Drosophila melanogaster: one gene and its partners. The protein of the gene in region 1 interacts with the protein of each later gene in a pairwise test. Each region holds a gene or a part of one and is shown on either strand. Other genes may lie near its edges.

Region 1 (6,784 bases):
GCCTATGCACGCCGGAAACGCCGGAGAAGTTTATGCTGCAGGATGACAAGTACCTGGGACTACTCGAAAAGACCAACTGGCTGTTCTATGTGTCGTTGTGCCTACGCTATGCTAGTGAAGCGTCTGCCACGCTGCGCAGCGGCGTTACCTGTGTCCTCCAGGAGTCGAATGGCCGTGATCTCTGCTGTGTGATTAGCAGTCTGGCGCAGCTATTGCTCGATCCGCATTTCCGTACTATCGATGGCTTCCAATCGCTGGTGCAGAAGGAGTGGGTGGCCCTGGAGCATCCGTTTCAGCGACGCCTGGGTCATGTCTATCCTGCCCAGCCGGCCGGCGGTAATGCCGAACTATTCGACAGCGAACAGAGTCCAGTGTTTCTGCTCTTCCTCGATTGCGTGTGGCAGCTGTTGCAGCAGTTCCCCGACGAGTTCGAGTTCACGCAGACATACCTGACCACGCTGTGGGACTCGTGCTTCATGCCCATCTTCGATACCTTCCAGTTCGATACGCAGGCCCAGCGACTGAAGGCGGTGACCGACTCGCAGCTCGTCCTGCGTCCCGTTTGGGATTGGGGCGAGCAGTTCTCGGACAAGGACAAAATGTTCTTTAGCAATCCGCTGTACCAGCGCCAAAGGGGCGATCTTGGCGCCCAGGCGGCTGCCGTGGCGCATCGCAGATCCCTGGCGGTGGGTAGTAAGGGAGCGCATGGCGCCGCTAGTGGTGTCACACCCTCGCGCAACACCATCAATCCGCAGCTCTTTGCGACCGCTTCGTCAGTGCCGCAGGATCGTTACCTGCAGCCGGCACATCGCATCTTCGATCTGCAGGTGTGGGATCAGTGCTACTACCGCTGGCTGCCCATTTTGGATATACGCGGCGGCGGCCAGCCGCAGGTGGATCTCTATCATCGCCTGCTGCTGAGCAACATAGCAAAGGTACAGCGCTGCCTGGATTATCAAAACTTTGACGATCTACCCGATGCGTATTACGAGTTCGCCGGCGAATCGCGTCCCAATCAGCACAAGGACGAGAAGCCCGACAAGGAGGACGAGGCCGAGTTCGTCGACGGTGTGGAGCGGCGCAGGAAGCCGACGGCGAAGGCCGCCACACCCACTAGCGGACTCACATCGGTTACCGGCAATCTGCAGCTATCGACCCTGTCGTCGTTCTTTCCCTTCGGGAATCCCATCGCCGGAGATGCACCGCTCCAGCTGTACGACATTCTGAGCAGCAGCAGCGAGCTGCTGATGGAGACCTCATCCTTTCTGGACAAGTCGTCCATTGTCTGATCCGCACACAAATCGGAGACACCACCACACACACACTCGTTCCACTTGTTTATTCAAAACGCTGAACTTTCGAAGTATTACACAAAAAACAGAATATAATTTGAGAAGAAGAAGAAAAAACACACACACACACACACACACAGAGGTGCAATTTCCTCACATATACATGGCATATCGCTTTTAACACTTTTGATTATTGTTAACTAATAAGCAAGTTATGGTATAAGTTTTTTTTTATTTCGTTTTACTACCACCAAACTGCATTGCATCGCTGCATTATAAAATTAAACGTAAATAATACGATTAACAAACGTAACGACAAGCAATTGATGTAAAACGAATTCAAAACACAAATCCGCAAAAACGAAAACGTACGAAAACACCAATTAAATCAATATGTATTATATTGTATGTAACTAAATATATGAAAGACTATTGATCGATATGTATATTTAAATAAATCAAATGTGTAAAATCAACAAAATGTGTTCTGATTGCGGCAACTTTTGAGAATTAAACGAATTAGGAACTATGAATATATATGGGTGAGTCAGCAAAAAAAATCGCATTAATATGTAAGCTTATGATTTTAAATTGAAGTGGATAGTTGGATAATTGAAAAGATAAAATAATTGACTAACAGTTTGGCTTTCGAAACGATTTGTGTTTGCTATTCTGAATAATTTTGGGTTCTTAATGTAACTCAATAAAAAGTTTAAGATTTTATAATTTAAAAAAAAGGAGCCATATAAGGGTTAACATAATTACAAGCTTCGATAAATAACTGTTTAATTCCCGATTTTTATTTATGATTTCATTTTATAGTTCGCTTGGACTTTCAGTTATAATCATAGCACATAGAAGTTATAATGAATTTATAAATATGCTATTATTATAATTTATTATTGGCACGAGAAACTAGATTAAACACTCAGCGAAATGGGTAATACAAATACGTTCAAGGACATAAAGGATTACACAATGAAAATCATTATAATTACAGAACGGAATCATGAATCTCAAAATAAGAAGCTATCAACAAGAAATGATAAATATTTGGACTTAAAGCATGAAATAATGGAAGTTAAAGTTGAGAATCTGGCAAACAACCGCATTTTAAAAGCAGAAAAGGATGCAAAGACTGCAGATAAACTCGACAATTCAGAATATTTAAAGATTAATCAGAAAATGCTTCTAAATGAGAACCAAGATATTGAGATGGAAAATCAGGTACCAAAGGATCTGGAAAAGCAAACTGATGAGTATCCCAATGAAGAGCAGTACGTCGGGAATCAGTTGCCACTTAGAAATCCCGCTCAATCGACTCCAACTCGTCCAAGTCGCGTGATTCCACCAATGCCATCGGAGGAAACGATGCGCCACTCCATAGCCGACAACCTGATGGAGATCCTGGTGAATATGACTAATCCGCAGCATCGACAACAGTGCTTTTCCCTCTTGCAGGTGGACGATGCTCTGCAGGCACGCAGTCGAATCCTATGCCTCCTGCAGCAAATCGACGAGAGGCGCAGGACGCGCAACTGAATTCATCCTATAGAATGCTTGCTTACATTATAATGGTACTTTTACAAAGCCTGCTATATCTTAATCACAATCATAAATGAGCGCCTGCGATTATATGCCATTGGCTGCCATTTAAATCACACGGAACAACGCACACCATTGTCGTTATGAGTTAAACATTTAATAATAAAAACGTTGCGTGACTAACAGATTTAGGAAGGGAATTTGATCTTTGGGCGCTCTTTTTGAATCATCACTTAGCCTTGTCGTCCTGCTGCTTAGCCTCCTCCGCTTTCAGCAGCTCCGAAATGATGCCCGCCTTCTTGAGCTCCTCGATGAGATCGCCGCTCTGGTGCATCTGCAGCAGGATGTCGCAACCGCCGACAAATTCGCCATTGATGAACACCTGCGGAATGGTCGGCCAGTCGGTGTAGTCCTTGACACCTGCACGCAAGCAATAAGGTTTAACGCTGGCACGCTAATGCATATGTGGAGCGTACTCACCCTGTCGCAGGGACTCGTTTTGCAGCACATCGTGGGCATCGTACTGGACACCGTGCATCCGCATAATCTGCACCACCGCATTGCTGAAGCCGCAGCGTGGCGCCTGTGGGTTGCCCTTCATGAAGACGACCACCTTGTTGGTGCGCACCAGCTTGTCCATTGTCGCCTTGTCCACTGCCGCGCCGGTGGCCGCATCCGCCGCAAGAAAGCGGGTGAGCAGGGATTGCGGTGCTGTGGTGGCGAGAATCTGGTATCTCGGATGGCGGAGACTCTGGCAAATTCGGTTCATCTTGACGGCAGCGACTTGGTCGAGGTAATAATAATATTAGCAATATTATCTAATAAAACAAGTGCTGTTCAAGTGTCAGCTAAAAAGGTATCGATAGCTCGCTCGAGTGGCGACTGAACGGCCTATCGACTATCGAACGGTTTTCGATTATAAGCATTTCAAGAATTTTCATAATATTTTAATACTTTTTTTTATGCATATTATAGAAACTATAAAGCAGGAGTAGTCAGTTATGATAAAAGTACATGTCTTACAATTAAAATAAATGTATTTTAGAATAATAATGCATACATAGCTATGAGTACAATGCTAGAACCTACTTAATCTAGTGGAGTGTCGTATAGGATCGTTGGAGCTCGCCAGGATTACTGGATGTCGCGGCCTGGGCCTCAGTACGTCCTGTTGCCGTGCCAGGACCTATCATATTCTCCATTCGCTGGCTAGTTTCCCGCATAACGCCACCGAAATCGGGTAAATCCGGGAGATCCAGTGCCAGATGGGCGGAGAATCGCTTGTAGACGGAAGATTTGGTGCTATCCTTCTTCACTTTCTTTCTGCTCTCCTCGTACTTTAGCTGCTGCTTGAGGAATATTGAAGCCTTGATCATTTCCTGGATGTTCTCAAATATGCTCTCCGATTTTTCAATCGTTCGCAGCGCTCTGCGGTTAAATAGATTCAATTATATATTATTTTATTATTTAGTAGTTGATCCTACTGTATGCCGTATTCCATATCATAGCAATGTCCCTGGAGATTATTTTGCAGCTGAAAGACTTCATCGCGTTTCTCGAAAATCGCTGGGGTAACCTTGCGAACGTGCTCCTGCACACGGAAAAACGCCAGCGATGGATCGTTGGCGAATATGTGTATGTTCTCCGATATCTTCTCTGATGTTTTCTTCGCTTTGAATACCAATTCGTTGCCGCGCGACATTGTTAAATTCACTCTCTTGTTTTTGTTTTTTATTTCAGTTTTGTTTACATCCGAGACTCCAGTTGGACTAGTTATCGATAACCAGACTGGCTAATTCTATGCAATACATATCGACTGGACGTGACGAGGGGTGCACAATACTATTGGTTAAATTATTAAGTGTGAAAGCGAATAAAAACATTGATTAAAAACCTAGTGAATTATTCGTTTTAATTTTATTTTCTTGAAATATATTCGAATTGAAACTATAAATAGTTAAAATATCGTCGAGATGTTCGACACATCGCTAACAATCGATAATCTTACTTTTTGAAGCGACAGCATCGATGCAAGCAAACAATCGGCGTTTTTCCATCTCCAGCGTAAAGGGACTCGGTTCTTAAGAACGGTAAAAATTTCGTCAATTGATTCGTTTTAATTGAAAATCAGGAATTAATTTACTGCGTCGACGCGATCAATTAAAGTCGAAATATTTTTTGAATTTTTTTTTTACTGTGCCAGTGAGTGAATGAAAAACTAGTTGGAAGTTGCAGTGGCAGAGCAACAACTACAAAAACGGAAAACAAACTGTGGGATGCTGATAAACTTTTTTCCCGGCTCGCATTTCGATGATTTACGAATAATCTAGTGTAAAGCCGGTTTTTGCTAAACGCGGTCTAAGTCATGAGTTCTAGCTAAAAACAATTGCTAATAAACATTGGTACAGCAACAACAAAGCGGCAATAACAAACTTTGTTTATTTAGAAACTCCAATCAGCCACCCCAATCAGAATGCACGCACACACTAAGGGTTAATTTTCTAGTGTGTATGCGTGTGCGTGTCTGTGTGTGCGGGTTATTTTTGTTGTTTGGTATTTATACACACCGTGTTCTTTTGTTGTTGTTGTGGTTGCTGGGAATTTGTTCTGATTTTTCTCAGTGCAAGAATGATGAGCTCATTGATAAGACGCGCCCCATCTCTCGCTCTCCTTCTAACGTACTCGCTCTCTCCTTCTCTCTCTCCCCCTCACACACACACACATACACACACGCACACATGGCTGCTTACGTCATGCCGCACCCCCTTGCTCTACTTTTTATTCGCAACTTATTTGTGTTTTATTAGAACTTTGATAGAGAGCTGCTCACAAAAGTCCCCCAGCAGCGCCATAAAACTAATAAAAATCACCAGCACAGTTTACAATTTTCAAGTGGCCGCTCTACATTTCCCCCCACCCCGCCAAACTCCTCAAGTGTTCCTAATTCCAGGCACCACATTCCGATTCGATCGTTCAGATACACTATAGAATATACGTATATATATACGTATTGTATATAGCAGGTATTATATGCAGAACAAGTTGCCGCACATTGCTAATTGTTGTTGCTGCTCCCTAGAGACAGATAAAAAAAAGCTTTTAATAAAAACGATATAAAACAAAAACAAAAAAAAAAGAAGAATAGCAATTCAAGTACAACAAGAATCGAGACCAAATGTAAATAAAAACAAGAAAATTGCGCGTGTGTTTTGATGGCAATCTGGAAATATAATAAGTACCATACTTTCGGGCGGCCCATTGAAAGCTTCTATCTTGTTTTTTTAAATGTATTTACACACAGCGAGAAAATATTAAGAACATGCATAAAATAATATTTTAATAATAATATTTTTACAAGATAAAAAGTTTCCTATATTATACCAAACCTTCAAAGCTTTTACTAATAACTAATTAATAACTAATAACTACTAAAAATCGGTATAAATTCCATAAAATTGCTAGCAATATTTAGATGGTTTTTTTTCCCGGTGTGCTAATTATACATTCGTGTGTGCGCTCTTGTTTCGTTTTTGCGGCAGAACTTTTCAGCGGAGCTTTCGGCAAAAGGAGTAAACAGCAAACAAATAAAACATAAATAGAGACCAACAAGTAGACGGCGACGAGGAACGACTCAACGATGGGCAACATACACACGACGGGTCCCAATGAGGCGTTAATTGTTTCAGGTGAGTCGGAACCCTTCACACCAACCAACCAACCAACCAACCAACCAAACGCCCACCAACCCACCCACTGCCAGCCTGCAAGGGCTTAATCCTTTTTTTTGCCACCACTGTTGGCTCAAACGCCTGTTGACTGATTTTGAAATGCTGCAATTAGGAAACCGCATGTTGACAGGACATTGCGAATTCAGTCAGGGTTCCCATCCACATTTGCATTTGCCCGCTTGCGAGTGACGTTCGACTTTGCTTTGATCTGCGATGGCG
Region 2 (9,903 bases), on another chromosome or scaffold:
GAGTATTCAAAAACTTAATTCACACAGCAATCAGATTTTTTATCGTGACAAATTGCCCTCTTAAGTGGTAGGTAGGCCTATACCATCACGAGATCATTCTTACATTTTTATAAAAGCATTTGCATATTTAGTAATCATTTGTTTATTTTTGGACAACTTCGGCTAATTTCTGAACATCACGACGAGCGAATTGAATTTCCAATGCAAATTAAAATTCTTTACTGGCTTAATATGCCCAGTAATTATTCGAAAGGTTTTTGAACTCGTGTTTTCATACTTCTTTGGACCCATTAATCTTTTGGCCACTTTTTTTGGGGGAAAGGTTGTGGGCACGTGTTCGTTTTCTTGACGCTTCTTTTCTGGCCAAAATGTCACCGAACTTTGGTCACAAATCAATATAATAATGTTTTTGCATAATAACACTATAGTGTTTGACGTCTTTTTTGATTACGTCTGTATTTTCTTCTTTTTAGCATTTTATTAAATATTCTGAGGTCGCCGGCATTCCGATTAAAAAACAAAGTCAAGCAGCGCAGCAAAAAAGTGGAGAAAAATATTATTTAAACTGGATTTCTTGTGAACATTTATGCATCTAGAAGATGGGCATTGAACGCACCTCCACAAAAACTATATATATACATATATATTTAAAATTAGTAGATAGATTAAGCCGGTGCAAAAGTTGGACTCCGGAGTGAATCTATTTGATTGGGATTCGCTGCTCAGCAGTCATATGCTTATGAATTCTAAAATATTTAAATGCCAAATGGTGCAGGGGAAACACAATTAGCATTTTAATAACAGCCAGTACGTTTTTGGCCGAAATCTGCTTTTTTTTTGTTGTACTACATATGTGAAAATCGCACGATGAGCTAGCGAATTTTAAGTATTATGCAGAAAAAGTAGCGATAAATGTGTGGAGATATTTTATGCAAATCCGATTCTCTTTCATTATGAATTCTATTATGATCTGTACTATTAATAACAAATAACTCGATTTGAAAGATTTTCAAAATAAACCTTGGCGAATGCATTTTTGCATAGAACTTCATATGTTACTTATGTTTTTAATCGCGTGATTGACGGGGCATTCCTTAAGCGCAGAACCCTTGAAATGCCCACCAACATCGACCACATTAGGAAAAGGCTCGATTCAAAGCAGTGCGGCCAAGAGCAATCGTTAGTATTTGCGAACCAATCGAGAGGGCCCCTCGAAGATGTCCATCACAGAGACCGAGAGGCTCCGACCCTGACACGGATGGCCACAATGGGGGCACTTGGAAAAGTGGCTCAAAGGGGCCAAGTACTTACCTCTCTTATCACGGCCATTTCCGCCTCCACTCCGGCTAATGTTGCTGCTGCTGCTGATGTGATTGTTTTGGCCGAGTTGGAAGCCGTGGGGCACCTGGCTGATGGGCTCGGCCACCGGGATGGTGGTCACGGGTGAGTTGTGGCCGGAATCGACACTGGCCAGTGAGATGAGCACTACGATAAGTGTGGGGCGGATCATGATCACCGATTTGCACTCTTCACGCGAATCTTAGACACCAGTAAAAGTTGCAACTGCACTTGGCGGAGACCTCTCGGATGCACGTAACCGAAAACCGGGGAAAGCCAGTCGGCTGTGGTATGCTATAACCTGCGATCTCGAGCTGGAACTGAAAGCCAACTGACCGTCGGAGGTTGGACTTTCGGGTGTCTCTAGATCGGGGGCCTATTTGGTATGCAGCTTCGCTTTCTAAATTATCAAAGTTTTGGGGAAATGTTGTGGTATCTCTCGGATTTAGTTTTTAATATTCAAATACTATGCTTTTCTCCGCCCAACTGTCAACGCTGGATGGGGCGGGTTGAGTCTCTAAACGAGGGCCATTAATTTGCGCCCTCGAATTCGGACTGGGAGCCCGGTGTTCGTCCGATGCCTGGTCGTGGAGGCGAACGCGGATTAAGTAATCGCCCAAATCTACTCCACTCAATTCACTTTCTTTCCGCTTTCGCGGCGAGAGGCAGAAATTGAATTGGATCGAGCGAACTGGAGCGGATGGTCTCTCCTCACTGGTTTTGTGGTCTGTCGTGGACCGATCTCAGAAGTTGCTCACATTCGGGGCCGATCCGCTGAATGGTTAACATCTAGGCTGGGGCACTGCTTCACGATTTCTCGACTCTTTCCTGCGTTCGCACTCGCCGTGTTAACTTACAGACTAAAGCGTTTGAACGCGACTAAAACGAGTTCCTCGCTCGACTCCTCTCCGAGCCACCGATCGGATCGGTCAGCTGGCCCGATCTGCGATCTCTGGTCTCTCGGATCTCTCCCTCTCCGTATAGTATAGTCACTGCAAAGTGACCAAACCGCTAAGCTGCCGCTGCATCCAACGGCGGCTTTTCCTCCTCCTCGATGCTCCCTCCCGCGAAGATTTCTGGCTTTTAATTACAGGTGTGCAATAGATGAAGATGGTCGGATCGGATCGGATCGGCATCAGAGTTCTGCATCGCGAATTGGTTTTGTCGGCTATTTTTAGACCCGCCTCAATTGCAGATGAAACACCTCCGCGGCCTTGACTGGGCAGTTAAGTGCCCTTAATGAAGATGGGCATATACACTTGCAAGCAGATTACTGCGGGTTAGGGTATCTACATCAGATCAATCAGTGAGGGATCAGATCAACTAATCATAAATGGGACTAGAATTATTGTTTTTTTTTTTCTTAATTTTAATTCAATCAAAAGCATACATTTACGTAACTAGTCGAAAAAGTGAGTGTTCGTGCATCTTACTGGACGGGTTAATATGAATGGGTTAGTACCAGAGCCAAATTTCAATAATTGCTGCTGTGAATTTTCAAAGAGTCGCTTCCAAAATGCCAAAGGATGTGTTCCGAAAGGGTAAGCGTCAAGTCCGGTCGATGGGAATGGGATCCGCCTACGGATCTCTTGGTCTACTTCTTCTTCTTGCCCTTGCCCTTCTTGCCCTTGCCCTTCTTGCCCTTCTTCCCCTTCTTGCCACCGGTTAGCATCTCCTCGGAAACATAGGTCTCCGTGGTCACCTTGCTGATCGGAAGGGTTACGGGCTGCTTGGGCGTCCGCAGCTCGATCTCGATGGTATTCTTCTTGTGCTGCGACTTGGCCTTACTTCCCAGTTTTACTAGGAACACGTCGCTGTCGGTCTCCTCGCAGGTCTTGTAGCAAACCTGAAAAATAAGAAAAGCGACAAATCTTTTTAGATACTATGCAACAGCTAACCAAAATAGTCTCAATGCAACGCGTTGCATCTTTCGCAGAAATTACCATAAATAAAAAAGCTGTAGCGGATTGCCACCGCAAACTGAAAAGAGTGCTCCACACTTGGAGCTGGCAGATGTTACGCAACTGCCCCACAATTGAGGCAATCGAAAGCCTTCCCGAAGTGGCAGAAGTGGCATAGTTGCACCACCTGCAACAACGTTTAGGGGGGCAAAGTCACGGACTACCAATCGATCCACATTCCGCATCCGCACACGTAACTGGCGAACTTAAAAAATGGAATGCGGAGGCGATCGGCGATTGTGGTTAATGATTTAAGATCGAACATTCTTGAAATATGGATTTCCTTAGGCCACTCAGTGCTGCGCAAATGAATATAGGATGGACTCACCTCGATACCCTTGCGCCTTGTGTCCAAATTGACACCCTTCATGGTGTCCATGATGTCCTTCCGCTCGACCTGCATGCAACATGATCGCTGGTTCTGGACGGGACAGTGCGCGGGCACGATGGGATCGGATCCGCCGCAGAGTCGCTGGCGGTAGCAGTCGACCTTGGCCTCCTGGAAGTCGCAGGCCTCCTTGATCTTCGAGAAGGGCACGTAGTAGTTGTCGGTCTCGCAGGCATCGTTCCCAGAGTACTTGATATTGGCTCGCACCTTGGGGATGTTCGGGTGGTTGATGATGCGGCCGCCGGTCCGGCGCTTGATGTGGTTGCGAGCGAAGGAGCTGCGCTGGAGCATATCGTGCAGGCAGGACTCCTTTGCGGGCTCGCAGTCATTGGGGTCATCGCGATAGCAGGGATCATCGCCTGCGCCCAGATTGGGCGCAGTCTCGCTGCCATCCATCACGCTCTCCACCTTGTGGGTGTTCTTGAGTACGCGTATGGTCAGACCGCTGCCATTGAGGCAGGCCTCGAACTCGTCGTACGCCTCCGGACCCGGATCCGGCTTGGTCGGCTGGATGAAGCAGGGAGCCAACTCCGGACTGCAGTCGCAATCGCAGGCGCACTGACAGCAGCCATCACAGTCGTCCACATCTGAGGATACCAATTGGAAGGGATGAATCATCCTTAAGCCCGAGCTTCGGTGCAGGGATCCGCGTGTACTTACTCTCGTTCATGGGCTTGAGCATCTCATTGGTGATCTTGAACTTGCAGTCGACCTTTGGCTTCTTGCCCTTCTTGCCCTTTCTTCCCCTCTTCTTGGCCATGTTGTGCGGTTGAGTGATTGAGTGTGTAAGTCAATACAATTATTCACTAGGCTCAAGCTGAAATCTCAATTCCGAAAGCCTTCAATTCTCAATTTGGATATTGTACTTCACCAGTAAGTGGCGCAATTTCCGCACAGCTCGTTTTCGCGCTGAAATGAAAATTGAATTTGGGTTAGTGGATCGCTTCGAAAATTTTTTAACTTGATAGGAAAAAAAATAGTTCGGACGTACTGATTCTCTGTTTTAATTTCCATCCAAAACTCGGGTAACAACAACGAAAGATTTTATTTTTCTGTATTTTGTGCGGCAGACAACATTTCCCGTTCGAATGTATAAAACAAATGCTAAACGAGTGATCTTCTACACCCCGACTACTAGATGTTACTAAATGTTTCGCTGGAGTTACGAGACGTTTGTGTTGTTGTTCATTTCGAAGCCTACTTGGCATTCTCGAAATCCCAGTTGAAATCGTTTTCTAAATACATACATATATGAGCTCACCTTCATCACAGGCCATTTCGTACTCCTCCTCCCGTCCGTTGCACCTGACAGTGGGCTCCTTGTACCGAATTTTCTTGGTCGCCTGGAGGACTCCTGCGCAGACAGGATCGCAGTCTTCGTAGACGGCGGACGGACTATTCTCGTCTCCTACGCGGCAAACAGCACCTCCAGCCTGACGCTTCTTCTTGCCCTTGTCGTCCTTGCCACCCTTTCCATCCTTTGCGTCCTTTCCATCCTTGCCACCCTTTTTGCCATCCTTGTCCTTCTTGGGATCCTTTTCCGGTTTGTTCAAGAGCTCGGCCTGCATCTTCTCCTGGATGAAGCGTGGGTACGGTGGAATTCCGCCGCAGGGACCGCATTTCTGCAGCTTTTGTTCGATCGGCGAGAGATTGCAACGCTTTGTGGGAACAGTGGGGCATTCTGGGAAGAAGTATATACATTACATCATTAAAAGGAAGCATTTATATATGCTGATGATAGATTATAGTCACCTCTATCGAACTCGTCCTCGCAGTAGTCACAGGGACAGAGCTTGTCCAGATTGCACGAGTAGTACCTGAGGCACTTTGCCGGAGGCTCAACTCGCTTGGCACAAGGATCCACCATTGTACAGCGACGACAAGGAGGCTGGGCACACGAGCCCTTGCAGCCCTTCTTATCCATGGGCCCGCCGGTGGCAGTTCCGCCGCCACAGCAGGGACTGCAGGGATCGCACGGATCGCAGGGGTCGCAGGGTGGAGGACATGGTGGGCCACAGCTAGGAGGCGGTGGGCACGAGCCGCAGCTGGGAGGTGGTGGGCAGGGGCCGCAGGGACCACAGGGGCCACAAGGACCGCAGCAGGGCTCCGGGCACTTGGGATTGCGGGAGCAGACCTTGCTGAAGGGGAACGTGGACACAATGGTCGGACCATTGCACACCAATCTAAGGATCAGCACTATGTTGCCAGTCTGCATCTTGCAGAGATTGAAGAGGGGCAGCAGTCGCTTGGACAACTCCGATGTGGGACACCACTGCTCGTGACGTTCGTTCAGCTTCTCGTAGCAGGCACAGTTGTCCAGGAGGCCCTTGCTGGTGGGACCCTTCATCTTGGGCAGCTGGGCGATGTGCCCCAGCATGGCGTCTTCCCAGTCAGGATTCTCGATGTCAAAGGACTCCTTCACCCTGTCGAAGATGGGCTTCACCTTTAGCTCCGACAGTCCTATCAGGAACTTGCAGCTCTCCGTGCGCTTCTTATAGACATGCACCTGCAGCACATCCTTGTCCGTAATGGGGGAGTCCAGAGTGAAGAGGGCGCACTTGCCGCACTTGGGCGAACAGGGGTTAACACACGTGCCCACCTCCCGATCGCAGAGATTCACGTAAACCGACGAGCGGAACGTGATCTCTGTGCAGGTTGGATACTCCTCCGGAGCGCAAAGATTCTGGCGTGTGATCAGCAGATCGTCCACTACGAACTCGAACATGTAGAGGAAGTTTCCTGCAATCTTGGGAGGTTTCTCTGGCTTCTCAGACTTATCGGATTTCTCAGTTTTCTCAGTTTTATCAGACTTGTCCATTTTCAAAGGAAATAATTTTGGCTAGGCTTTTGTTTTGTCGAAACTAGAAATTTATATGCCCGAACACTCGCACTTCCAAAAATTTTGTGAGTAAATTTGAATTTAGATTCTGATTTTGAATGGCCGTCCAGACGGGGAGACTGTGGTGTTCGAACTGCTAAACCGACTGGATTTGCGAGGGCTACTGGAATCGGATGAATTTTGAAAACTTGATTCCTTGATTTTCGATATTAAGATTGTCTTTTAGGCAGATGAGTCTGTCTGTATGTAGATTTTATTACGCCTAAAATGCCTAGTAAGGTCTTATTTCTAACATATATATAAATTTTAATATTAAATTATATTATAATGGACAATAGCCTCCTCAAGTCACTGAAACACCAGAATTGGTATAAAAATTATTCAAATACTTTATTTATAGTTAAGATATGCGAATGATTATCAGTTGCTAGGCGCATCCCTTGTCAAACAATAAAAATGCTTATGGCAACTAAATGAGTACGGAATATAAAGGCTCGCAGCTGCATTTCCTACTCATGTCTTCTTGGCTGGCACGGTCTTGCAAGGATCGCAGGGATCGAATGGCGACGAACAGGGAGCAGGCCAAGTGGGCGGGCAAGGACAGCAACAGTTGCAGGGATCCTTGCACACTGGTCTCTGGACGGGGAAGGAGGATACCACAGAGGGCCCATTGCACACCAGTCTCAGGATCAGCACTATATTGCCCGTCTGCATTTTGCAGAGGTTGAAGAGCGGCAGCATCCGCTTGGTCAGCTCTGAGGTGGGACACCACTGTTCGCGCCGCTCCCTATTCCTCTCGTAGCACACACAGTCATTGGCCTTCTTGCAGGGGCCCCTCAGCTTGGGCATTCGCGACAAATGGGACTCGACGTTACTCTCCCAGTTTATGTTCTGTGAATAGAACTCCTTCTTCACCCTATCGAAGATCGGCTTCATCGGCAGCTCGGTCAGCCCGAGCAGGAACTTGCAGCTCTCCGTGCGCTTCTTGTAAACGTGAATGTGCATCACGTCCTCGTCCGTGATCGGCGATTCCAGCGTGAAGAGGGTGCACTTGCCGCACTTGGGCGAACAGGGGTTGACACAGCTTCCGTTCTCCCGATCGCGGATGTTCAGGAAAACCGAACGGAACGTGATCTCCGTGCAAGTGGGATACTCCTCCGGAGCGCAGAGGTTGGGACGAGTGATCAGCAGATCGTCCACCATGAACTCCAACATATACAGGAAGTTATCAGCAAGATTAGAGCGTTTCTCCGACTTGTCCATTCTCATATAAAAGCTTAAAAACTAGAAATTTGACAAAATTACTATACCAAAGAATTTGTTATGTGTTGAAAACGTTTTTAGAAATTTTCAGTCACTGAAACCTAATTTTGACGAAAAATAAATATGTTGAATTTTGAATTCAGATTTTGACGACGTGCCGAAAAGGAAAGACTGATTTTCGAAATGGATCTATGCGACTGAATGTAAAAGGCCTGCCTACGATTCAAAATATATAAATAAAAAGCTAAGAGCTCTGCATTCCTACTAAAATATCAACAATGACATTCTTTATATGATTAACACCCTCTGGGTAACCTGTACTCTTAACCTTTACTGGCCATCTTTTATGGTTGTCATAAACGCCATATACCCATATCATTAATTACATTTCACCTCCACAAGTAGATAGAAAGACGCCGGTCTGAGGTTTTCTAGCAATGCGTAAAATACTTTATTTAATGTCATTAAATGGTTCTACAAAAGTGATTGATCTACATTGCAGTTAATCGCAGTTAATAAGCGGCGCCTTCACAACTCCACTTCTTCCCGATCGAAACCCCAATCATTCCCCTTTTCCAGCCGCCTGAAGCTCGCCTAAGTGTAAGTGATCTGTGTATATAATGACTAACAAGTTGCAGAAGGGAATGGACTGGGGGGGGCTTTAAGACTAAACAAAAACAGAATAAAACAAAACAGAAATTGAGAGGAAGTCGAATCGATTACAGAATTGGTTTACAATTGTTCTTTCTCGGAGCAATGGGACAGTTTAGCTGCAGAGGTAGTTCCCAGTGACTCTGCTAGACGACACTAACGTCATGGGTCTCGAAAGGAGATGGGCGGAAAAAGCCGCGGCCACTGCACGAACTCGACGCCGTAGTGCAGGATGCCCGTGGCACTGACAGCGATCATTGCGCCCCAGAAGAGCATGAACAGCAGGTTCTCCGTGTTAAACTCGGCCGGATAGGTCATCGTGATCATGAACATGGCCACAGCCACAAGCAGCACCGAGGGGAAGGTGAAGAACCGCCAGCCATGCTTCGACTCCAGCGGCGATGGCACGGCACCGCCCTCGTTGTCGTTGACCAGATACTTTCCAAGGAAAAGATCGATGCTGTCTTGCCGCTGGCCATCGGCGAAGTTGTTCAGATAGTAGCGCATCAGCGAGTTCTTGCCGTCCTGCATGGCACCAGACTTGGTCCTCTTGCCCGTCCTGGTGAAGTCGGTCTTGAGCGCACACGTTCCGGAATATTGTAGCGACACCAGATCCGCGTTGTCCGCCCACACGCCCTTGAAAATGCTCTCGAAAATGTCGGAGGCATGTTCCACTTTCTGGCCCACATGAAGCACTCCCAGCTTCTGGAGCACCGCAGTGAGGGACCTGCGGGCCAGCATGCTCTGCACGACGTTCGTCCTATCGAGACAGTCGATACAATTCGTTCGGAAGACACCAGTCTGCGTGGACACCAATTTGCCGTCGTCGAAGACATGATAGACACCGAACTGATCCTGCTCATGGGCGAGGCGATCGATGAGTATGTTCAGCCGGTCCCAGCGCATCTTACGGCACTCGCTGTGGAAGTCGAAAGACTCGTATCGCACTTGTGGATTTCCCATTTCTCGAACCAGGCGGGCATAGGTCGCCTCGAGCTCGCCTTCGGCACCTTTGTGATCCACTAGATTCACAGCCACATTGTTGCCATACAGCCGGATCTGTTCCTTAAAGTGGAGCCCGCAGGCGGCCAAATGATCCTTGCCCGGCACCAGAACGGGTCGTGGCTTATAGCGCAAATTGGGCAGCTGGTGCCAGTGGAAGGGCATGCTGCCTCGTGTCTGCACGAATCCAGTCAGCTGCCCGTTGAACTCCACTATTTGCTCGGTCTCTACGAAGTTCGCAACATGGCCCTGCTCGTCGCTGCCTCGGCAGAAGAGCCGTGTGCCCGCCCGCTGCACGGAACGCCTGGTGATGATGCTCCAGAAGAATGTCTGCCCGTTGATCTGCACCTGGTTGATAGACACGAAGCCCAGGACGAGTGGCAGCTGGAACTTCTCCATCTTATCGCAGTTGAACTGCCGCAGCACATAGCCATTCCAAACGAATCGCTGCTCAGCGCGCT
Region 3 (7,243 bases), on another chromosome or scaffold:
CCAATTTGGATACATTGGATGTATGTATATGTCTGGTGTAGGACGTCAGTGGACAAATGCACTTCAAAATAAATCCCAAAGATACTTTGCACACTATAATGTCAACCCCAAGTAATTTGACAAATATTCGGTTCGAACTTTGTCCGAATACAATATATAGTGCTTAATGATTTGACTTTTGAAATTACTAACCCATATCGTCTCATATGAACATTCATATGTAAATTAAATGTTACTTATATATCGCTAATGCTCTAAAATATATTTTTTATGCAGATCCAGAAGATTTCGGGCGACGATGATGGCGGCCTGGATAATGCCAACGAAGGCAAGGAGATCATTGTTAAGGTGAGTAGGTGAAAAATGCGTAAACTAAATCAAATACTTACATTATGGTTATTTTTCATTCCAGATACAACAAATTCTGGACGATGCTGACGAGGCTGAGGCGCCCAAGGAGCAACCCAGAGTGAAACGAGAAATTCGCAAAAGGAAACTGACCAAAACGGAAGAGTCTGGCGAGCAAAATTTGGAATTTGAAATTTCCAACGTTGAAATTAAAAATCCCGAATACTCTGAGTACCTGGACGAAAGCAAAGAAGTAAATATTCACAATTTGATAAGTATCTTAGACATTTTAACGATTATCGAACAGCATTACATATTGCAGCAAAACCCGGATGACTTAGCCAATGGATCGGCGACGATCATCGAGGCCAGGCCAAGAAATGGTTTAGCTGCATTGCGAGCGGAAAAGGCGCGAGCCGAGATCAGTCAGTTCCAGAGTAAGACCAAGTTTCTTAAAACGGAAACGGACAATCTAAAAGTAGAGCGCACACTGACTTTGCTTAAGATTCAGAAGCTTCGATTGGAAATCGACGCCCTACGCGATTAAAATGTATTTTAACTATAGATAACTTTTAAATGTCCGCATGGTGAACCCTTAATTTTTGTTAAGATGACGAAAATGTCTGTCTTGAATTCAACATAGATTTATTACATTTAACTTTGTAAAGGTGATTACAAAATACATTATTTTAAGCCTGATTACTCGAATCTTTTTATTAAATAATAATGTAATAATGCAATGCTTACAAGTGTTATTAAAATCGATGTAATCTAATGCTTACATACATAAATATTACATACATCAAAATTATTGAATAAATAAAAATACATAATAAATAAAACTAGAAATACTAGTACAATCGATAGTTCGCACTCTTCGACAACCCTACTGATACCCATTCGATAACTGACCCCAAGCAACCCTGTTCATCACATGATAGTCAGGGTGATATCGGGGAAGAGAAAAGGTTTTCTTTGCAGTCGTTCGTCATATGATTAAAAGTCCAGCGGAAAACTGAAAATGTTGAGAGTTTTCGTGATTTTCTCGCTGTTTATAGCGGCCAGTAAGTAGATCTACCATCTATAATCAAGTAAAATGCATGCGCAGCAAGTGGAAAGCGGTCACAAAGTGGATATTCTGTACTCATCGATTCCTCTTTGGGGGTGGTGACACCCAGAACTCGGGACTCCAAAGGGCTCCCCACATGCATGCGCAGAATCTTGGACAAAGGAGACGAATATGTTAGATTCTACAGAACTTATGAGCTACGTCTTCCTATTTTGCAGTCAATGCCTCTGGCGAATTCACCGTGCTGAACCGTCCCAAGGCAATCAGTTTCAAGGGCAACGATGCACTGGAAAGCCACTACGTGGGTGATGTACTCTACGCTTCCATGGGCAACGCCGTCAGCGGCGATACCAACTGGAACGGACTGACCATCAACGATCCCTTCAACCTGGCCAAGGGCGTCATTCTGGTGCATGTCCAGGGCATTGGTCACGTGACCACCGCCGGCAACGTCAAGACCTACGAGCTGACAGGCTCCGGAACGGACGCCTCTCTGAACGCCCTGGCCGCCGAACTGGAGGCAGCCAACGAGCCCGTCTGCGATATTAACTTTGAGCAGTTCGACGATGGCGTAAGTGGTGTCTTAAAGGGGAAAAGCACATTTCGTTAGTCAGTTAGCTAATTTGTCAAACCGCAGAAAGCATGATCTTCATCTGAAAGTTCGTTTAAAGAAGCTTCTCTACAATCCGCTATAACTTCCCACAAATATGATAGATAGTTATTAAACCTTAAAAATTAATTAATCACATGATTTATAGAGTGAATCATAGTGCCTTCCCCCTTACGCATATAACGTAGAGACCAATGTATATTTAACCACATATTTTTTATAGGTTCAAGCCTGGAAGTCCTGCTTTGGTGATTTCGAGGCCCCAGCCGCCAAGCCCACCAAGCACCTGAACCCCTCTCTGCACACCGCTGACAAGCAGTTCCTCCAGGAGGTTGGATTCATCAACAGTGCCGCCGATCATCTGGCTGAGATGGCCAAGCCCTCGAATGTCCTGATGCTGCGCGTTTCCGTCGATGGAGTGGCCAAGGCTCATGGCGAGAAGTCCGTGGCCGTGGAGGAGGCCAACAAATTGCTGTCGGCCGCTATCAGCCGCCTGCTTGCTGCCTCCCAGAAGTCCAGCGACTCGGTTCTGTTTGTCCAGACCACGGAGAAGGACGTGGCAGCATCGCGTGCCAAGCGTGATACCATTGCCGCTTCCACCACCAATCCCTACAACCTGGCCGTCTACTACGGCAGCGACTACCCGGTGATCTTCAACATCATCCTGTGGTTCATGGTCGTCTTCGGACTGTCTCTGCTGGCTATCTGCTACGCCATCGCTGCCATGGATCCCGGCAGGGACTCCATCATTTACCGCATGACCTCTACCCGCATCAAGAAGGACAACTAAGGAGGAGCAGGAGGAGTTGAGAAGCGAGAGGAGCAGGAGGAGCGAGAGGAGCTTGCGTTACGCTTTGTTATTTCGTCCCCCTTTTAAGTTGAAATTTGCCAACTTCTACTTCAATCCAACAGCGGATAAATTGTGTGTTTGTGTGTGTGCGGACAGCTGTCGCAGTAGTTGGTTTTATTATCTATAAATAAGTATTAAAAAACTTTTCAGTTTTCAATGCAGTTGCGGGCGTCGCAACAATTCCATAGAAATTTGTTACATTTTCCTGTTTTGTTGTACTTTTTAGGTTTATATATATATACGAATATGCACAACATACTCGCCAAGTCAGTCAGTTCTTCAAACGATTCATCATATGTAAATTATCAAAATGTGAAGTGTTGAAAAGTAAAGTTAAATATATATAGCCTAAAAAGACAAAGTTGCGCCTGGTTTTGTTATCTAGTTTTTGGGGCAAATGATAATTGAAATCATACGTGGTATTCTTGATAATTTATTTAATTATTGCACTTATAAAAAGGTTAACATGATAAACTAATATAAAATGAAAGCTATTTCAATTTTTTTCTTCTCAAAATCGTAAAGTATGGACCTTAACTTTTATAGGTTCATGGAATGACTTTGGCAAATTGCGGATATAATATAACACAAGTTTTAAATTGAATATTTAAATGAATTCCCTTTGATATTCGTTAATTCAAGTTACGCTCCCCAATGATCGTTGCCATTATCATAAGGTGAACTACTTCCGCCGCTCCAGGCACAGCATCCATTGCCATTTTGACCCACGGAGCTCTCCCGCAGCATGGCCTGCAGGTGATTAATGTAGTTGATGGCAATCCTGGGTAGGCAAAGATCATATAAATATATTACAGAGCTCTACCGCAGATACTTTCACTTACCTCAAACTCTCGATTTTGGAGTACTTTTTCCCATTTGGCTTGGATATGGGTAGCTTGGAGCGCAGTAAGTCAAAGGCTCGGTTCATGTCCCGCATCCTGGTTCTTTCCCGATCGCAGGCGGTGCGTCTATAGTCCTTCTCCATTTGCAGCGCCTTCTCCCGCCAGGCGGGATTGTGCTCTTTGGCGATGTCCACCTCAGTGCTATTGGCTATACTACCGCCGCTATAGCTCATATACATGGGCGGAGGTACCAGCTCACTGGGTTTGTTGCATTCCAAGCCCACTGGCGAACCGGTGGCCACCTGGCCAGCATGCCACATCGACACCGGCTGAGGTATAACGCTATATGTGGGTGGCAACAGACCCATATTGTGCGCTTCCTTCTCGTAGCCACCCATCACGCTGGGTGAGTAGCTATGCGGATGAGTTGGCGCATATGCCAGCAAGCCTGCTCCATCCGCGGTTAGGGTGTAGTTGAGACTAACTGCCGGACAACTGGACGATTGAGGGGCACCGAGCTCTAGAAGAACGGGCTGTTCCGATGATTCCGCCTCGCCCTCGGATCCACCGCTCAAATAGGGTCCACCGGTGGTGGCTGATACGGGCACCAAAACTGGCGGTGGATCACCCGGTACGCCGGCCGTGGAGCTCAGCAGTTGATCCGTCATCGCTTAAGCCGCTTTTCGAATGACCGATCAAGAGTTCTGGCCGGACTGCAGCAGGTTTACCTGGACTCGGTTGGTTTTTTTTTTTTTAGCTTGTACCTTTTTGTTTTGCTTACTTTTAGTTGCATTAGAGACGACTCTGGCGATCGTGATGAATGGCTCACCATCGATCCATCGATTCGAGACGTGACTACTCATCCGGGGTTGATGAGGGCCACATCTCGTCTAGTTTAAGAGGCCACCGCTTTGTACGTGTGTCAACAGGTGATCTATAGGGGACCAACTTGTCGTCGAGGGTCCTTTTGTCCCATCCAATCGCTGTGCAAACAAAGCGGCTTAATTTCCTCGCTATTGTCCGATCGATCCGACTCCGACGGCTGCGAATGGTGATCGAGGCGCGTGTGGCAGGCTGGAGTTGCGTCCGACTTATGTCGGATCCCTCTCTGGGATCAGCGATCGACGATCGTCGCCACAACTTCAGTTTGAGTTTTTCTTTTTGATCGTCGCTATGTACAAACACCCACACTGGAACTCAGCCCATATGAAAGAGTGTATTTTCGACGCATGTAAACACAAGTGTTTTGACTTAATTAAAAAATACACACATATGCATATAGCTAGTTATGAATATAGGTTCGTCTATATGAAGGTAAGAAACCTAAGCTTGGCCAATCTAGCTCCAAACTTCGCCCAATTCTAATTTCAAACTAATTTGGTTTCTCTCTAGTCAATGAAAAACCGTGATCGCCAGCTAAGTGCTCTTATAATCCTATTAAAAATTATATTACATATTCTATACCTATTTTTATGATTTTTCTTAATTGAAATAGATACTTGCTTAAAAGACTGAGATATTGAGCACAGTTTCCATTATTACTACATATCTTCTTTAATTAATAGTAATTAACTAGCAAATTATTTTTTTCTTCCGAAAATTCAGAATTCCTGAAACTATAAACCGCAAGGAAAAAACTAGAAGAATATCTACTGATAGCCCGCGAAATTCAATTCATGTGCAAGATCTCGGGTTACCAGAAAAAAAAAACAACACACAACTAGAAGTGAGAAAATTACTTACATTTTTCCGAAGTCGAGAGTTATTTTGCTAGCTGGCTAACCAGAGAGGCACCTTTGCCCGGAATCGGAAATGAATATGAGCAGAGTGTAGTTTCTAGGGAAACCTAGAGAGTTGACTTGTTTCTCTCCTTGGCTGAACGTTTCGGGTTTCCAGGAAAATGTATAGACTTGCTAACAACTTCCCAAATGTGGGTCACTGTGGTGGCAATTGCAAATCGAAGCCGAAGTTTATTGTTTTCTGCTTTATAAAAATAAACACGCTGTGTAAAAAATAAAATAAATAGCGAGTACAACGATGCATTAAGTGGGCGCCACACGGACTCAGAGCCAAGGCATAGATCAATTCTGTATAGCTATTTACATAGAAGTGCCTTAGTCGGTTCGGTGCTAAACTAATATCGCTTAGTTCGATTTAAGCTAATTTCATATAAACTGGTAGTAAGAATCGATGTCAAGCAAATGCAGGTACCTCAATTCGGCTACCGTTCTAACTTCCGAACTTCAGGGGTCGTAGTTCGAAGTACTTGTCCAGCACTTCGTCCGTAATCAGCTTGCGGGCGGCCTGATGCTGTTCCACAATGGGTGTGAGCGTCTAAGAAGATCATTTGAGCACATTAATTACAATGTTTTTTGGGAAGATTGTAGCATCATCATTGCACTTACCTCAACTGCCAGCTTCTTGATCTCGCCCGTAAGCATTTCGCCTTTGCTGTAAGCCACTCTCACCTCCTCCAACTTGGCATCGTCCTCCAGGAAGAACTTCAACAGCTGATAGGAGACATCAACTTCCGGAACTCCGCCCAGCTTGCGGTGCTCCTCCACAGATACGCGTCCTCCGGAGAAGGCGTACTTGTTGATCTTGTTCTTAATCTGCTTGGGCGTGTCCGTCAGATAAACAGCCGAGTTCTGGTCGCTAGCCGACATCTTCGTCTTGGCACCCTGCAGCGCCGGGAAGAAGGTCGAATGGATGAGCGCGCATTTGGGAAAACCAAGACGTGGAGCCACATCGCGAGTCATGCGGAAATATGGGTCCTGATCGATGGCGCACGGGATGAGGCAGTGCACCTTCCTGTTGCCGAAGATGAAGGGGAAGGTGCTGGAAATCGCGGGAGCTGCTTGAGCGGCTGGGAAACCAATCTTGCCAATGATGTCTGAGTCCCCGAAGCCAAAGATGCCCTTGACCTGATTGAAGGTAACGCACTTCTGGATGCGAATGATGTTCTGATACATGGCAGGACATTTTCTGTAAGTAATATAGATAATACAGATTATACAGGTTAAAAGTTTTTTAATTTACTTACCCCACGAATTCCAGGTTATTAAAAATGAACGTCTTGTTGACATCGAATCCAATGGCCACAATATCCTTGGCGTTTTCACGTCCAAGCTTGATGGCATCCTCCACTTTCAGATCCTTCCACAAGGTCTTCTCGTCGTCGGTCAATTGAATAACCAGCGGCACATCAAAGGTCTCCTGCAGCCACTTGGTCATGATGAAGGGCACCAGGTGGCCCACGTGCAGGGATCCGGAACTGGGACCGCGACCAGTGTACAAATAGAAGGGTTTGCCCTGTTCGCGCAGTGTTAGAATCGTATGAAGATCCCGGTGCGAGAAGAACATGCCCCTTCGGATGAAGTGGTGGGCGGGCTTTCCCGTGATTTTCTCGAAACGCGCGATAAGCTCCTCATCGATTTTGCTGGAGCCAAACCGTTCTGCAACGTGTCAACATGTCGTTTGATTAACTTGATTAATAATTTGCCTTGCAAATGTCTTCTTACTTA
Region 4 (7,433 bases), on another chromosome or scaffold:
TTTCTTACCATTTCGCAGAGTGGATCACACATTCCGGAGCGCAGGGTATTGGCAACCGTCTTGCACTCCTCGTCGCATATGAGAGCGCGACAGTGGCAGCATAGGCATCCTTGTTGTTCTGGGGGACACTCATCATCGCATTCCTCGCACTTTTCCAACGGGCAATCTTCCGGGCATTCCTCACAATTCAGCGCGCACTCTTCGCATACATCGTCCTCGCAGGAGTACACATCGTCACCACCACACAGACCACAATCCTTAAGAGCTTTTCGCAAAAGCTGCTCGCAGAGGTTCCTCATATCGGGTGACAGAGGTCCTTCGGGCAATAGCCCAGTACGTGGACCCCGGGGCGCCGGGCTAGGTGACTCCTTTTGCGCACAGGGATCTAAGTTGTAGGGGAAGGCTGCCCAGTCTGTTTGCTGTGTGGTCCAAGGAGGACAGGACACCATGCCAGCAAATGGACACTCAATCTGTTCTGGTTTCTCCTCTTCTTCCGGTGACGCCACGGTTGTGGGTCTCTCACAGATTTCCCTTAGTACTGTGCTAGGAGTTTTTTCTTCTACCTCCTCGCCTTCCTTATTGGCCTCCTCCGCAAGAATTTCTTGCAGTTCCTTGTCGATGAATGCTTTAAGAGATTGGCAGAGATCCGGCTCCGTGGTTGCTTTACCATCATCCTTACTTTCGAACTTTTTTACTTCCTCGTCATCCTCACAATCACGAAAGAAGTCATCATCCAAGCCATCACCCGAACAGGTTAGTGCATTTCCAATGTCAAAGAATTGTTCCGGGCACTGACAAGGTTGCATGTTGTCATTTTCCTTGGGAGATTTTGGCTCAGGTTCTGGTGGAAAGTCCGGATCTAGTTCAAAAGCATAGATATCGGTCTCAGGAATCTGAGGTTCTGCCGGCGGCAGGAAGCACTTGCAGAGGTATTCCTCCAGTTGATGAAAGCACTCGACTCGTTGGAGCTCTCTCTTTGACGGGGGTTTTTCGACTGGATCGCCTTCCCCATTGCCAGCATGTTGGGCCGTACAGCACTCATCGAAGGTTAGGCACGGTGGGCTAGCTTCATCCGCTGGTGCAACTGCATCATCTTTTTCTGATCTCAGGAGTAGTGTTAGTTCCCGGAAAAGTTGTTGGGTCAGGCAGGGGCGAGATATACCGCAATCGCAACCAGGACTGGTCAGTTTCTCCATCAGCATCAGGATGCGTTCCTTACGAGAACAGCAGGCCATAGCCCTATTTCCACAAAGATCCTCTGGTGTCTGATAGCCGGTACCCGCTTGGGCACTTTGCATCCCCTGAAGCTCGTCATTCGAAGAGCACTGGCACTGCTTGCTGACACACGTAGCCTTTTCGGGTTCCTTCGGAGGATCTGCATCGTCGTTGCACAGGCAACTACCCCCGGAAAGACTCCTGTGCGTATGAAGACTGGTCTGGATGGGATCGGACAGTTCGGAGAAGTTATCAGAAGCATCACAGTCACAAAATTCCTCCTGACCCTTAACGCTCACTTTCCTAGAACGGAAAGAGGTACTGGGGTCGCCTTGAGAGTTCTGACAATCGGTGAACTGGGCAAACCCGGATGGATGGTGTATTCTTGTGGAGGGGCATGGCGCAATCTGGATCTCATTTGGGCATTCCCGATCGGCCAGGCTCGACACAAAGGCCTTGGTGGGTTGATGCTCCGATGCGCATAGGCAGGTGACCTGACCCACAATCGATTGGGATCGTGTGGTTGCTGAGGTCTCATCGCCTGGCCCAAAGGAGGGTTGATTGCGCGGGTTTGGCGCCCTGAAATTACTTGATTTGGATGTCATACTGCGATAATTGGGATGGCTCTGAGGAAGTGAACTCATAGAAGGATCCTGATTAGTCTGGGTAGCGTTGCAGGTACATGCAGGACGTTCGTCCTCTTTGGAAGAGCAACATGTACTCTCCGGATCCTTTAAAGCCGACAACCAAGTGACGCCACTCTGAGTTGGCGGATTAGATTTACTAGGCAGACTGGCCAAACTCTTGGATCGACCAAAGCTGCCTTTTGATGCTCCGGGTCTATGCAAGGGAGCGAGAGTGCTTGAGGAGGGGTCCATTGCTCTACTGTAGGATGGTCCGGTTACCAAGTTGCTTTGACCAGCCCAGTATGGTGGGTGGGCGCCACAAGTGCAGGGATCGAGGAGCTCCTTGGTACACGCTGTTATAGCACTCTTGAATGAGGAAGCCTTCTCTGGTTCCGTAACCGATGTTTTCTGGGAGCAGGGCTTCCTCGAACTGGATTTCTCCTGATGACCCAGTCCACATGGACTTGGATCGGTGTTGCATGCACAGGTGTGAGCTTTAACCGCTGGTGGATCGGCGGACTTGGACCTCTTTGCGGTGCATGAGCAGGACGCCCCATCATCTGGATTAGCCTTCGATTCCGGGTTCTTAGGCGTGTGGTGTTTCTGCAGAAAGGAGACCGCCGTCTGCGATGGCTTGTCATGAGGGTCTACACGATCAGATTGTTGCGACTGTTGGGATTTTGACGGCTTCCAGTGGTCTCTCATGTGGGATGCCTCGGTTTGTTGATGGCGGGAGTTGGGGTCGCTGTCGGAATGTCGCTCATGCTGCATGTACATCAGAGCCGGGCATTCTGTGGATGAAATGTTTGGGATAAAATAAATATCTAACAAGGATTTTATACATCAATTCAGGTAAAATAAGAATCTGTTAATAGCCGGCCTTCTGTAACCCTTCAAAAATTCTTGGCTACTTCAGGTTTCTTGCAAACATCTTGACTTGCACGATATTCCGAAACATTGAGCCTTAGCCGCTTACATAAGGTAAACGACATAAGTATGCCTTAAAAAATCAAATCCGTAAACAGGATTTAAAATGTGGGAAATTTCAATAAAGAGAAGTGATTACAATTGACATATAATAGAAGAAAACTGATCAGCAGGAAAGTTAGCACGCTTACGATATTGTGGCGGCTAAGGCTCGAAAATTCGAGCACTCTTAACCGATACCGAACCGATTCCTAAAACCGTTTCAACTCGATTCCCCGGCTAGAACACACATAATTCGATTCGATTTGATTCGGTGAGCAAACACATTTTATTCGATTGGATGGCTCGTGGGTACGAGCAGTTCCTTGATCTCATTGAGTTGGATCTCGCGACCCCGCGTGATTTCCGGACGGGACCACATTTCAGCGTGGTACAATTCTAAGAACTTGGCCTCCGCCTTTTCGCGGCACGGACAAAAATCGAAGTAGGAGGTCTGGCTGCAGACCTCCCGATCCTCGAACTTAGTGAAGATGGTGCCGCGCTGTACGCATCGGCAAACCTTGACATTGGTGTGCTGCTGGTTTGGGGCAAAGGAGCGTTGCTTCCACGGACACATGCAGCAGCCACAGTTGCCGGGACAAAACACATTGCCTTCCTCGTCCATAATAGGACTGGGATCGAAACGGCACGGCGAACAGTTGGAGAACTCCTTGTTTTGAGGCAGGGCAAGGTAGTACCGCTTGCTTCCCGGCGATCTTTCCGGCGGCGGCGGTCCCATTTCTTCTTCCGGCTGCGGTCCTAACATCTCCTGCTCGCTAGACAAGAGCTCATCGGATTCATCCGACTCGGTGATCGGGTGTTCCGGCTCTGGAGCATAGATTATCAAGTGCTCCTTCGGGGCCGTTGGTTCTATCTCCACCAACGGTTCTTCAATTGGCAGTGGCTCAGGCACTGGGGTAAGAGTGAGCTCTGATTCGATATCCGGCAAGGTCAGGCAGGAGATTGAGATGACCTCCCGTGCCCCCGGGTCGTGCCAGCGGCAACATGTGGCCGGAGTGCAACGGTTACACTGAGATGTTGAATCCCCACAGCTTCCTATGTATACCGAACTGGCGGACCCTTCGGCTAGCTGTTGCGATGCACATGGACGAAAGTGTTTGCTGGCGGATTTACCTGAGCTGGGCTTTGGAGCCCTTGGACCGGAACGCATATACTGCTGCGAGCGGCACTGGCAGATGGACTCTTTGCGATGCCTGGTGACCGGTTGTTTCTTTTGCTGACACTTGACCATCTTGCCGCTCTGCGGATTGAACTCCAGCGGCATCTGGACGGTGACGGGCTTTCCGTGCAACGGACAACCAGCGCGACCCTTCTTGGGGTCCACCAACCGAGCGGTCAACTCCAGGGTGACGGCACATGGCTGATTCCAACCACCTGACTTGTCAAAATTCTTGAGTAGCATCTGTGTGGCATTGGCCGCCCGTTCCAGGGCATCCCGTATCGCAGCCGGATCATCGAACTTGCACCGGCTGGTGGCACTACGGCCCTCCTTTGGCGAGTCCTCACCCGGACCTTGACAGTCGTAAAATAAGTCCTGTTCGCTGCGCGTCTGCTGGAAGTTTTCGCCTACGAAAAGCAGTCGGGTGGAGTCCAATCCGCGACTCAATGTCATGGAGCTCTGGTTAACGAAATGACTCCGGGAGTAGTCACTCCGAGCGATGCTTGGATCGATGGGCTGATTAGAGAATTCCTCGTCCATCACGCTTAAAGAGCTTGAACTGTTTTCCCCAAATCAAGCTCTGAACTCACATTAAATTTTAAAGTGTGTGTTGCCTGCTCGATTGTGTCTAAAATACTGATACCAAATGGAGCACAATAGTGACAGTATTGAAAACGTGACCTCACTGGCCTGCTAGTAACTCCTATGAATTTTCGATTTTCCTACGCTGTTCTATGTGTGGTGTAGCCAAAGCAAAGCGAAAATTTATAAAGATACCCAACATACCCAGCAATTACCAGTGAAAAAAATGCATTTCCCAAACATAATCCAATTTAGTCACCAATGAATTTTGAGAAAAAACAACTAAGTGAGCAAGACGTGGCTCTTGATAAGTTTAAAATTTACGTGTTTTGATTAGGTTCCTGGCAATCGGGACACACTTCATCCTTGTTGGACCACTTTACACTCGATCTTCTGCTCTTCGACTTGTTCTGATTTCCAGGTGCATTGCATCCACAAAATGTGCCAATTGACTTGGGCTGGAAGATGTTGACTTTGACCTGGCCGCTTTCCGGATTCAGTTCGATTGGCAGCCTCAGGGTCACTGGGTCGCCGATTAACTTGCACTGCCTGTCCTTGGGGCAAGGACACTTGTCGTCCGTATGTAGACGGGCACTGACCTCCAGGGTGGCCGGATAGAAAAGTGTCATCAAAGGACGAGTTGGCACGGAATCAGTGCCTCCGTAGCACCTTAGCAACCGCTGGGTGGCAGTGGCTGCCCGCTCCAAAACGGCCCGAATCTGGACAGGATCGTCAAATCGAGGCGCTTGCTTGCAGATCACTTCATCACCACCGCCCACTTCCAGATCTGGAGTCTCCTCGTCGTCACTGCGGCAGTCATAAAAGATGTCTAAGTCCTCAAACTCGCCAATCATAATGCTCAACGTTTAAACAATTTGGATTAATCTGATGCCGTTACGAATCTGCCGATAAAACAGTCTACTCTATACAAAGACAATAATCTCAGAGAACTATTGATGTTGAATTATAATGTTCCTGGTTAGCTTCCTATAATTAGATCTAATCTGAAGATCTTATACACGGCAACCTTCAAGGAGACCGAAATAAGGGTCAGTCACTTGGTAATTTACATTTATGTTTGGTGTATTTACATAGAAATAAAGCTCTATTTCTTAGCTCTGAACAAGGTGGAATTGCTCCTCTCCACGGGAATGTAGACAGTGCAGCAGAACTCCGATTCCGCCTTGTGGTTATGGAAGAGCAGAAGTCTTGTGTGGATTCGCTGCTCGATTTGTTGCAAAAGCGCCGAAGATGCAGGCTTAAGGGCCAACTTTAGGTTATGGACACAGTCCAGAGCAGCCACAAATCCTTCATAGCTCTCCTGCGTCTTCTGAGTACTCTTTTCAATCCACATGTCTTGCAAAAATTCAAGATGCTCACGGAAATCCTCTCCGCCCTCCCATAAGTGAAGAAGACGGGTCCGGAATGCGGCAACATCGAGGTATCCGTCCACGGCGCCCTGAATCAAATCCACGAAGCACCTGGTTCTCAGAGGCATCAGGAGCAGTCGTTGCTCCACACCCACATCGACCTGTGTTCCACACTCAATCGTCTCTGGTTGAACTTGCATCTCCTTTTCATTGCACTGTGTCGTGACCTGAACCTCCTCCTCCAGGGTTTTCACCTCGTCCGTTTGTACAAATGACACGCTGGCCAGAGATTCCCAATTAAGATTAACAACTTCAGCGTGAAGGGAGTGCAGGGAAATTCCGGATCTGGCCGAGTGAACCGAGTGAACTGACAACAGAGAGTGGAAACTACTGCAGGAGAGGCTCTTTTGAAGAGGGAAACCCAGAGTTCGATTGAGCGTACGTGGACGGTAAATGTGACGGAAGAGGAAACGCTGTATTTTTCGCTGGTGACTGTTTGGTCTTGGATGCTTCTCCTTCTTATTCTTTGCTCGCTTTTTGCTTTTCTTTTTGAGCTCGGGTTCGTGCTGCTGATCCACAGAACAAACCTCGTTGAACATCTGTCTCATGGAATAGGGCACCGCGGTGATCTTCTTCTCTTGCTCATCTGTTGGTCGAATTATCTGCGGATTCGCCCTGCTGTCTGATTCACCAAGGTGTAGTTCAGATTTTTGGGCAGATCCCCCAGCTAATTCCCGTACTATTGACCGGCATGAGGATGTCACGACACTAACATAACTAGATTTCTTGCTGCTAACGAGATTTCTTTCTTGACTTTCCAGATATTCTGAATCGACTTGACTTTCTAGACTTCCCGGATTTTCTTGAATGACCTGATTATCTTGAGTTTCTTGATTTCCCTGGCATTCTAGACTAGTCACAGTTGATAGTCCTGTCTCAGGTATTTTTTCTGAGGAGGCATCCTGGACCGTAGCCCAACTGGAGCCTTCGGGTTCCGAACCAGCTGGCTTGGCGGGCTCTTTGCTTTGGAGACTCACCTCGGACGGACTCTGTGAGAGAAGGGTATCCGCCAGTTGCTTTACACTGCAGGCAATTGCTTGGAAGTCCTTGTGCAGTGGTAGACCAAAATCACGACCCTGTAATGATAAGGTGCTGTAAGGTTTCAGTAAAATTCTAAATACTACCAGACCTACCTCGAGATCGAGTAGGGCCACGCCCAGTCCCTGGCTGGCAGCCTGGAGGCTCGGTACCTCATCCTTCTTGGCCCGCTTCGCAGGACTATCATGGAGTTCATCGGCCAGGCTGTAGCCCTCGGGCATAACGCCCAGTTTGCGTTCCAAGAGCTGGCATTGTTCGTCCTTGGTTCGCAGCTCGTCCTCCAGGCAGCGCGCCCGCTCCTCCGAATCCCTCATTTGGTTCTCCATCTGGCGGATTTTGTTCTCCAGCGTGCCCACCTCCTCTTTCAGCTCGCCATTTGTGACCTCGATGTGCAGG

What was found.
Region 2: the proteins of Grx5 (region 1) and CG9133 interact in a two-hybrid assay, tested with the Drosophila melanogaster proteins (one large-scale study listed by BioGRID).
Region 3: the proteins of Grx5 (region 1) and sage interact in a two-hybrid assay, tested with the Drosophila melanogaster proteins (one large-scale study listed by BioGRID).
Region 4: the proteins of Grx5 (region 1) and CG33191 interact in a two-hybrid assay, tested with the Drosophila melanogaster proteins (one large-scale study listed by BioGRID).

Annotation. Positions count from the first base shown.
Region 1 is NC_004354.4:14,834,497-14,841,280, forward strand, and holds Grx5 (glutaredoxin 5), read right to left. Parts: upstream 3,703-6,784; 5' UTR 3,607-3,702; coding exon 3,318-3,606; intron 3,258-3,317; coding exon 3,067-3,257; 3' UTR 2,975-3,066; downstream 1-2,974. Other genes in the region: CG14411 (uncharacterized protein), read left to right, coding at 1-1,289; CG14410 (uncharacterized protein), read left to right, coding at 2,229-2,834; CG32590 (uncharacterized protein), read right to left, coding at 3,932-4,265, 4,322-4,539; Flo2 (flotillin 2), read left to right, coding at 6,475-6,523.
Region 2 is NT_037436.4:1,248,769-1,258,671, reverse strand, and holds CG9133 (uncharacterized protein), read right to left. Parts: upstream 6,661-9,903; 5' UTR 6,506-6,660; coding exon of another isoform or gene 5,440-6,505; intron 5,369-5,439; coding exon of another isoform or gene 4,949-5,368; intron 4,820-4,948; exon of another isoform or gene 4,679-4,819; intron 4,597-4,678; coding exon of another isoform or gene 4,529-4,596; 5' UTR 4,448-4,528; coding exon 4,348-4,447; exon of another isoform or gene 4,306-4,347; coding exon of another isoform or gene 4,275-4,305; coding exon 3,628-4,274; intron 3,185-3,627; coding exon 2,933-3,184; 3' UTR 2,686-2,932; downstream 1-2,685. Other genes in the region: tfc (triforce), read right to left, coding at 1,312-1,510; CG9130 (uncharacterized protein), read right to left, coding at 4,529-4,596, 4,949-5,368, 5,440-6,505; Bfc (booster for Crq), read right to left, coding at 7,040-7,795; Sac1 phosphatase, read right to left, coding at 8,603-9,903.
Region 3 is NT_033777.3:9,259,356-9,266,598, forward strand, and holds sage (salivary gland-expressed bHLH), read right to left. Parts: upstream 4,788-7,243; 5' UTR 4,388-4,787; coding exon 3,720-4,387; intron 3,659-3,719; coding exon 3,520-3,658; 3' UTR 3,299-3,519; downstream 1-3,298. Other genes in the region: Ibf1 (insulator binding factor 1), read left to right, coding at 277-348, 413-601, 656-895; ATP6AP2 (ATPase H+ transporting accessory protein 2), read left to right, coding at 1,370-1,412, 1,636-1,988, 2,251-2,817; TrpRS (Tryptophanyl-tRNA synthetase), read right to left, coding at 5,949-6,053, 6,125-6,704, 6,763-7,174, 7,241-7,243.
Region 4 is NT_033777.3:8,775,310-8,782,742, forward strand, and holds CG33191 (uncharacterized protein), read right to left. Parts: upstream 4,615-7,433; 5' UTR 4,528-4,614; coding exon 3,097-4,527; 3' UTR 3,070-3,096; downstream 1-3,069. Other genes in the region: Pif1B (PFTAIRE-interacting factor 1B), read right to left, coding at 9-2,618; Pif1A (PFTAIRE-interacting factor 1A), read right to left, coding at 2,618-2,632, 6,977-7,075, 7,133-7,433; CG33189 (uncharacterized protein), read right to left, coding at 4,890-5,423.